Linked DNA regions of Xenopus tropicalis. The protein of the gene in region 1 purifies or fractionates together with the protein of each later gene. This does not show direct contact. Links are inferred from orthologs where the notes say so. Each region holds a gene or a part of one and is shown in the gene's direction. Other genes may lie near its edges.

Evidence for each region. The genes of interacting proteins can lie anywhere in the genome.
Region 2: the proteins of phf6 (region 1) and lyar purify together in Homo sapiens (affinity purification with mass spectrometry; 3 studies listed by BioGRID and IntAct, with this or other methods). This does not show direct contact. The link is inferred for Xenopus tropicalis from reciprocal best matches to the Homo sapiens genes PHF6 and LYAR.

Annotation. Positions count from the first base shown.
Region 1 is NC_030684.2:68,411,541-68,415,966, forward strand, and holds part of phf6 (PHD finger protein 6), read left to right. Parts: intron 1-3,082; coding exon 3,083-3,126; intron 3,127-3,896; coding exon 3,897-4,057; intron 4,058-4,426.
Region 2 is NC_030677.2:26,336,590-26,341,661, forward strand, and holds the start of lyar (cell growth-regulating nucleolar protein), read left to right. Parts: upstream 1-1,753; 5' UTR 1,754-1,854; intron 1,855-5,072. UniProt on the Homo sapiens protein: Plays a role in the maintenance of the appropriate processing of 47S/45S pre-rRNA to 32S/30S pre-rRNAs and their subsequent processing to produce 18S and 28S rRNAs. Also acts at the level of transcription regulation.

The DNA of each region.
Region 1 (4,426 bases):
GAAAGTGCCCATAAAATGACCTCTTATTTGCTGTTGGTGCTAACATGGATGCCCCTTAAGACAAGTGTCCATGGCAATACTGGTATGCAGAAGAAGTACTTTGTACCATTGGCCTTTTGCCACTGGTTTGACAGCATGTTTGTGTTGCTGCCTTATACGATTGTTATATCGTCCATCCATGTTAGCATTACTAACTTTGGCATCCTGTACATTATACTGGATTATATACCTGTTATTAAAATATAAAAAAAACTATTGTAAGTCACCTTCAGTTTCCTTAGGCCTTTTGCTTTTGAATGCATGCAGAACTTATGATTTCTGAAAAACTTAAAAGTTACAGTTGGGGTACATTACCTGGAATAACTTGTTCTGTCAGTACAGTTGTTAGTTGACTTATACTCAGAAAACCCAAGGAGATAGTAGCAGTAGAAATTTCAAGGCAAGTCGAACCTACACAAAATTAGTCTGCTGGCATCTTATGTGGTTCTTTAGTCTAACAGAGACGCATGTACATTTAATAATGTCACAGACCATTTTGTATGCATTAAAACCAGTGAGCAAAATAATTTCCATCACATGAACCAGATGGCAATAGCCTTTCTCTCTCTTCTTCTCTCTCTCTAATTTTTTTTATATACATAAAACCATACTGTGGTTTGCCATGCAAATGGATCTAAACATGTGTGCCCAACTTAAAGGGACAGTAAATACCCCTTTTCAGGATAAGCTAAATGTATAAGGATTGTGCTTAACATACTTTTTGCTTTAATTGAGATATATCTATGATTACTGTTATTTGTGGACTAAACAAGAATTTTGAAGCCAGTTTCACTTTAGCACTTTCTGTGCTTCCTGATCCCACAGAACAGTGCTGTCCAACTGGCGGCCCGCGGGCCGCATGCGGCCCTCGACCCCCCTCTGTGTGGCCCCCCACCTGTCTGGCTGCTTTGATGGCTTACCTTTGAGTAAGCATTAAATGGTATCAGTACTGAGATTAACTGCCCCCTGCATTGCTCACACCTCAGATTCAGGCTGTAATCCCTCTGTATTGTTTAAAAATGTAATCCCCTGTGTTTTTCACACCTTTTAATACCTGCATTGTTCACCCCCTGCAGTGTTCACACCTCAGGCTCAGCCTGTAATCACTCCCATTGTTCACTTCTTCACACCTCAGACATAGGTACTGTAGGCAGAGTATGGCACATACAGCCAGCATAGGGCAGGTAGAGTATGGCACATACAGCCAGCATAGGGCAGGTAGAGTATGGCACACACAGGCAGCATAGGTCAGGGAGGGTATGGGACACACAGGAAGGGTAGGGCAGGTAGAGTATGGCACACACAGGCAGCATAGGGCAGGCAGAGTATGGCACACACAGGCAGGGTAGGGCAGGCAGAGTATGGCACACAGAGGTAGCATAGGGAAGGCACAGTATGGCACACACAGGCAGGGTAGGACAGGCAGAGTATGGCGCACACAGACAGCATAGGACAGGCAGAGTGCTGCCTGTGTGTGCCATTCTCTGCTTGCCCTATGCTGCTTGTGGGAGGTGAACCTGGCAGGGGTTTGTTGTGGGAGTTTGTTAGCAGTTGGAAATAGCCATTAAATGGTCCCTAAGGTGTGTAGTTATGTACTGGGGGTTGCTCTGCTATCCACAGGGGAGGAGGGGGCATATGGAATTTAAGGGTATATCTTAATATGACATAATTCTTTCACATATGAATGATGGTCGATATCCCCACAGTAAGGACCAAGCATTTGGGATTTTGCTGTGCTACCACCATTGTGATAAAATAGGTGTGGTTTGAAGTGGGTGTGGTTTCAAAAAGGGGAGTGGTCAAAACTGGCTTCCATTAGCGGCCCTCCACCATGTATGCTAGAGAAATTCCGGCCCTTGGCACCGTAGAAGTTGGACAGCACTGCCACAGAACATCAGAGGAGTTAATAAAACTGATTACTAGTCCGGCAAGAAGCACCTGATAATTACCTGCTCAAAGACTGCTGCTTATAGAGGGGAGGGTTTTGTTTGTTCAAAGGTAGATTGGGAGCTCTGAAAAAATTGCCCTGTTTATAAGGCTGATGCCACACGAGATGTAGGGCTGAAATTTTCAGCAAGCGGAAAAGCGCTTGCCGAAAATTCAGCCCTACGCCTGCTACTTGTGCCTGCACCCGAATGATTGGGATACGCTCGGGTGCAGGCACAAGTAGCCGCTATACGCATGAAAACGCGAGACTTTGCATTCTCTCGCGTTTTCATGCGTATATCGGCTACATGTGCCTGCACCCGAGCGTATCCCATTCATTCGGGTGCAGGCACAAGTAGCAGGCGTAGGGCTGAATTTTCAGCAAGCGCTTTTCCGCTTGCCGAAAATTTCAGCCCTACGCCTCGTGTGGCATCAGCCTAAAGGGGGTGGGGGGTAAGGTGAAAATAGCCCATTTTTCAAATTGACGTTTTATAATGGCCAAAAATAGAAAAAATACTTTTTTTTAAATTAAGACAATAGGCATATGTAATTTCAATACAAGTTCTGTTTATTGCAGTAATTTTTAGCAAAGGTGTTTTAGGTGTATACTGTTACTTTAGGGCTATGGCACACAGGGAGATTAGTCACCCGCGGCAAAACTCCCCTGTTCGCGGGCGACTAATCTCCCCGAGTTGCCTTCCCCTGCCATCCCACCGGCGAACATGTAAGTCACCGGATGGATGGCAGATGCGGCGACGCGATTTCGCGCAAATCGCCGAAAAAGACTCGCAAGTCTTTTTCGGCGATTTCCCAAAATCGCCCCGCCGCGTCTGCCATCCCACCGGCAACTTCATTGTTCGCCGGTGGGATGGCAGGGGAAGGCAACTCGGGGAGATTAGTCACCCGCGAACAGGGAGTTTTGCCGCGGGCGACTAATCTCCCCGTGTGCCAGAGCCCTTAAGTTTGCATTTTCAGAGGTGACAGCTGTTTAGAGAATGGGATCTCCTGTGATGGAAGAGCTACATCTGTTGGTATATGTCTGCCAGTAGACAATAAATTAAATTTTTACCCTGTTATTCCTGTCTTAAATAATAACCACATAGTATTTCTGTTACAGGATTTTTTGTAGAAAGCATAAGGAACAGGTGCAAAATTCAGATGGTGAGTTTTTTTGTTTCCCAAATGTCTCTTGGGCTTAGGTGTTTTTGTATTAGCTCTGTGTGGAGTAAATGTAAATTTTGGCATTATAGACTCCATTTTGCATGCATTCATTTAAATTCAGAAATATGTAGATAAATTAACTCTTAGTCAAAAATTTTATCCAAAATTTATACATTCATACGTTATTCTACAGTATCTCACTCTCAGCAACCTGTCAGGCTCCATGCTCTCTTTATGCTGAGGTCTGGGTCAGATTTTGATCAACAGGTAGGTCAAAGATGTCTTTTAGGGGGGCTCCCTTTCCTAGCAGATGTACTAGAGCTAACTTAAATACCCAACTCAAGCACAAACAAAAGCTAACAAAATAACTGACTCTATCTCACACCTTGCAAGCAGAGAAACAGGGTTTCCATCAGAGCCGGTTATTTTGAAAGAGTGAGCTCTAATACATGTTCTAGGCAGAAGGTTACACCCCCCCCCCCCCCCAAAGGATTTATTAGCCCTAACTGTCTGTGAAAACCTGACTCCACCTTCTGCGCAGAGAGAGAAAGATTGCCGAGAAGGGCAGAATGAAGAGTAACTTTATTATCTTTTACAAGAAACTACAAAGGCTATGGCATTCCTCCCAAGCCATATGGTCTGGTGTAAGTGAGATAGCAGCCAGCCGAGATTAGGCAGTTTATAGAAAGTACATACATATTTGTACATACTATATCAATCCATTGTACATAATATATATAATAGTTTTGTTTTTTTTCTTTTACTTTCAGATGAATTAGAAGGTAGTTTTACACGCAGAGGTTTGGCTCCTCAACGTGGTCGAGGAAGAGGGTCCAGAGGAAAATCACGGACATCAAATTCTAGAGGGCAGTCTGAGGAGAGCAGACTTTCATCTTTACATTGTACAGAAGAAACTGAAAGCAGCTCGAGTGTGAGTTATTGAAGTTAAATAATTGTCAAGCCTAGTGTAGGGTGGTACTATGGCATGCATTTTTTTGGTAAATTCCCCATTTTTATTTCACACCATATTAAAAAAAAAAGTAACAAAACAATCAGTTGTTCAAAATTAATGTTTATATTTTATACTTGCTTACACCTTCATGATTCCATGGGCAGAACTTGTGAGGCTGAAAGTGCTAGTCACCCTATTATTATTTTATTACAAGTTAATTCTAACAATTGAAATATACCTTTCCTCTAGTTGAAATAATTTACAGCTGTGCGCTATCAAAAGAAAAATAACCAAGTTTTCCTGTCCGGCAAATGGGATATATGAAGAGCACACACACACATATATATA
Region 2 (5,072 bases), on another chromosome or scaffold:
AATGCTATGTGGGAGATAAGATGCTTCAAAGTGGAAGCTTTGAGGGGATTTTTGGAAATGTCATCAAAATTGCTAACTTTAGAAAAGCTGTGCGGCTTGGTACTTTGGAGTAGAAAGACATAGGTACCCATTTTAGATTCGGGGGAATGTGTACTTTCCAAAAATATATGACTTTCTGGGGTGAGCATACTTTTTACTAGCTTTATCCCACATATAATGATGTAAATGTGTTGATTTTGCAGAAGCTGAAATGACAGAAATGACAGTATATATGGGGGTATGTTCACATTCGGGCCCCTACATGCCACATACTTGGGTAAACCTATACATATTGGGCATCAAACTGTTCAGTGGACCCCTGGTGTTCAAATTCAGGGTGTTTTATCTTGGTACCTAATGCTATGTGGGAGATAAGATGCTTCAAATTGGAAGCTTTGAGGGGATTTTTGGAAATGTCATCAAAATTGCTAACTTTAGAAAAGCTGTGCGGCTTGGTACTTTGGAGTAGAAAGACATGGGTACCCATTTTAGATTCGGGGGAATGTGTACTTTCCAAAAATATATGACTTTCTGGGGTGAGCGTACTTTTTACTAGCTTCATCCCACATATAATGATGTAAATGTGTTGATTTTGCAGAAGCTGAAATGACAGAAATGACAGTTCATATGGGGTATGTTCACATTGGGGCCCCTACATGCCACATACTTAGGTAAACCTATACATATTGGGCATCAAACTGTTCAGTGGACCCCAGGCATTTATATTTAGGGTATTTTATTTGGTTACTTTATGACCTGTAGGAGATAAGATACTATAGACTAGAAGCTTTGAAGCGATTTTTAAAAAAAATCACAAATTTTGATAAAAACCAATAACTTTAGGAAAGCATTGCAACTTGATAGTTTGGAGTAGACAGACAGTTGTGCCTATTCTGTATTCCCCAGAATCTGTTCTTTCCAAAAATGTACAATTTTCTGGGATAAACCTTCTGTTAGTGGAATTTTGGCCTTGAAATCCAAAGTATGCAGTTTTTTTGGAGCAGTGCTTTGGGAATTTGGTAGTGTACTGCTGGGAGTTTTTGACCTATACAAGTGAGAAATCTCCATAAAACTATATATATTTGGTATTGGCACGTTCAGGAGACATGGGACTTTCCAAATCAGTTGTATATTCGTGCATAAAATAATTTTTGTTTCTAGTATGTGTGATTATATTATGGAAAATTTGATTTTTTTTGCATTTTTAGACATTTAGAAGCCTATATCTTGTTACAGAATTGGAATTACACAAAAATTCTACCATATTTTGAAAGCTTAGGTTGTTCTGAAAAAAACGATATATTGTTTTCCTTGGTAAACTAAAAGTCCCCCCGAGGAAAGGCCCCTAAAGTGAAACAGTGCAAAATGTTCAAAAACTGTCTGGCAATACAAGTTCCGCTTTGACCAAAATGGCTGGCAGTAAAAGGGTTAAGTGTGTGTGTGTGTGTGTGTGTGTGTGTATGTATATATATATATATATATATACGAGGTTGTTTATTTACATATACTATTACATTTGGTGGTCATTCCGGACTGAGCCCCTTACCGTCTGTACGTACGGGCACTGAGGCCCCTCTGGCTCTATCCCTGCCGCACCAACATGAACCCATCAACCGAACGAGTCAAGACTTTCGCCGATAGGTACGTCACTTCCGCCCTCAAGGTCGCGGCGCTGGGAAGCCGGGCGGAAGTGGCGTCACAGTAAATAGTCTGCGCAGTGCGGGAGCGCTACACGTGGGTATAGCTGGCGGTACGGTGGGAGAGAGGCGCCTTAGGCTATAGTGGGACTGCTGCGCCGAGCCCGGGAAGTGGGAGGTAAGGGGTGCCCGATGCAGCGGGTTTCTGAACTGCAACTCGCACAAACTGTAAGATCTATAGAGAGAGACACTATGGGTGTGCTGCTGTTAGACTAGCACTGTGTGTGTGTGTGTATGGGGGGCTGGGTATGGCTGTGTCAGCTAACCCCATGGCATCAGGGGGATAACGATCCTGTTTCAGCTTCGTTTAAATCCTAACGGGATGGATCAGTTATCTCAGTACCCTGTGCCCCCAGCAAAGCCCCCACACTAGCTCTTCTGGCAAAACTGTGCTGTTAAAGGGCATCTAAATGCAAAATATAAACTGGCCTTACTGACAGTGCTCATCCGAGCTATAGTACATAAACTGGCTTCTGACTCTCTCAAGAGACTGCAGGGAGAGCACAGCTGGGGTTGCTGGCACTTTTTGGATCCAAAAAGCTTGGGAATCAGTGTAAAGCTGCCATTATCTCAGTAACCAGTTTAAACTGGAAAAGTGCTCACAGGACTTTAACTTCATTTTTGGGGTTAAATCTCTTTAAGGCTGTTATTACACCTGGCAGTCTCCCCAAGTAGCCAGTGATCACCGACTCAGGGTATCAGACTGCACTAGTGCTCTCCATTAATGTAAAGCTGCCAATACAAGTAGAGAGATTTCCATATAACTGGTGAACAGCCAAAGGATTTTTCAGTAGCTAGAACACCGGAGAGTTAAAATGAACAGAAAGGTAGGGCAGCGGATTGGCCGTGTGTAAAGGTGCCACTTGGGAAGCAGTATTGCTAGTGCCACACAGGGATGATTCTTGGCCTGTGGAGAAAAAATGAAGCAGCGTGTGGAAGCGGATCTACTTCTCTCAGCCTGACGGATAAATGCTAAATGAGAGAAGTGGACAAACCGCTCCCTGTGTCCAAGTCCTTAGGGTGAAGACACACAGAGCTACTTAGTAGCAGCTACTTCTCACGGCTACACCAGAAAATACTCTGCCATAGACAATACTGAGAATTGCCTCTTGTAAAACGTAGAGACAATTATCAGCATTGTCTATTTTAGTAGCTGCTACTAGTAGCTCCATGTGTCTTCACCCTTAGGGCTCTGGCACACGGGGAGATTAGTCGCCCGCGACAAATCTCCCTGTTCGCGGGCGACTAATCTCCCCGAATTGCCATTGTAAGTCGCCGGTGGGATGGCACACGCTGCGCAGGCGATTTCAGCAAATCGCCGAAGTTGCCTTGCGAGGCATTTTCGGCAATTTGCAGAAATTGTGCCGCCGCGTGTGCCATCCCACCGGCGACTTACATTTTCGCCGGTGGGATGGCAACTGATGGTAACTCGGGGAGATTAGTCGCCTGCGAACAGGGAGATTTGTCGCGGGCAACTAATCTCCCCGTGTGCCAGAGCCCTTAGAAACATCACCTTTGCCACTACCTTATCAGATTAAGCACACTTGATCAGAGATTATCGTCTGCCTGAACTAAACTGATTAAAGCAACAGTAACACCAAAAAATGAAAGTGTATAAAAGTAACTAAAATATAATGTGCTGCTGCCCTGCACTGGTAAAAGTTGTGTGTTTGCTTCAGAAAGTCTACTATAATTTATATAATTAAGCTGCTGTGTAGCCATGGAGGCAGCCATTCAAAGGAGAAAAGGCACAGGCACATAGCAGATAACAGATAAAACACTATTGTATTCTACAGAGCTTATCTGTTATCTGCTATGTAACCTGTGCCTTTTCTCCTTTTGTTCCAGCTTGAATGGCTGCCCCCAGGGCTACACAGCAGCTTACCGTATATACTCGAGTACAAGCCGAGTTTTTTAGCACTAAAAATGTGCTTAAAAAGTGAACCTCGGCTTATACTCGCATATATACGGTATCTGAATTAAATGCATAGCTGCACGCGCCCTAACTTGCGTGCTGACGCGTGGCATCGTTGCCGAGCGGGGGCTTCTCCTTACAGGTATGAGCATTAGGGCACCGATCTGTAGCGCCGCTTTGTGCCATTTCATTATTTTATTGGGGTATTTGCTGAGCTCTCAGGGCACCGATCTGTAGCGCCGCTTTGTGCAAGTTGAAGCTGCTCCAAACTAATGGCGCCTCCAGCCCAACAGCGCAGAGCAAGGGAACGATGTGCGGGCTGAATGCACAATTACAGTTTACATTCTTTTCTGCAGGTAATTCCATTCTTTGCTACAAGGCTCGGCTTATATTGCTTCCAATGAATTATTTTGACATTGGGAATGTCACATCCCTCAGACATAAGGCAGATATTATAGGAGGGGTGCAGGCACTTTCACATAAGGATTTCCTTGTATGCCCCCCATATTGCCAACAAAGGGGCCATAAAGTGGGGTGCAATCCAATGCAAACACCATGGTTCCCACTTTCAATGGAGCCCCACAGAACAGTAGCTGCACGCAGAGGCAGTTGTGCCCTACATACCCATCCATAGGCGAAATGGAACAATATATATAATTGCCCCTTATTGGGGGCAGAACAATCCTATTGGGTTTATTTCATGGTTAAATGATTCCCTATCTTGCTCCCTTCCCATTGTTCTGCTGATTGGCTGCTGGGGGTGAGGGGGGGATATCACTCCAACTTGCAGCGCAGCAGTAAAGTGTGCCCGAGTCTGAGCTTTCAGAAGGAGCCAGCGCTACACATTAGAACTGCTTTCAGGTAACCTATTGTTTCTCCTACTCCCATGTAACTGGGGGAGTCCCAAGCTGGACTTGGATTTCTTACTATTGAGTGCTATTCTGATACCTACTGGGAGCTGCTATCTTGCTCCCTTCTCATTGTTCTGCTGATCGGTTGCTGGGAGGGGGGTGATATCACTTCAACTTGCAGTAGCGGCTGCATTTCCCACCCTATAGGCTTATACTCGAGTCAATAAGTTTTTCCAGTTTTCTTAGGTAAAATTAGGTACCTCGGCTTATATTCGGATCGGCTTATACTCGAGTATATACGGTATTATAAAAATTATAGTAGTGTTACTGTAGCAAACACACCAGTTTTACCAGTGCAGGGCAACAGTGCATTATATTTTTATTACTTTAAAGCTCTTTCATTTTTTGGTGTTACTGTTTCTTTAAAATTGTTAAACCTTGCCTCATTGACCCAGCAATATGCACCGTACTAGGATGTCTATCAATTGTTCCTTGGGTCCACATGTTCCAAAACTCATACAAAGCCTCATATCTGACAATTTTTTTTTTTTACTACTATTGTAATGTTTA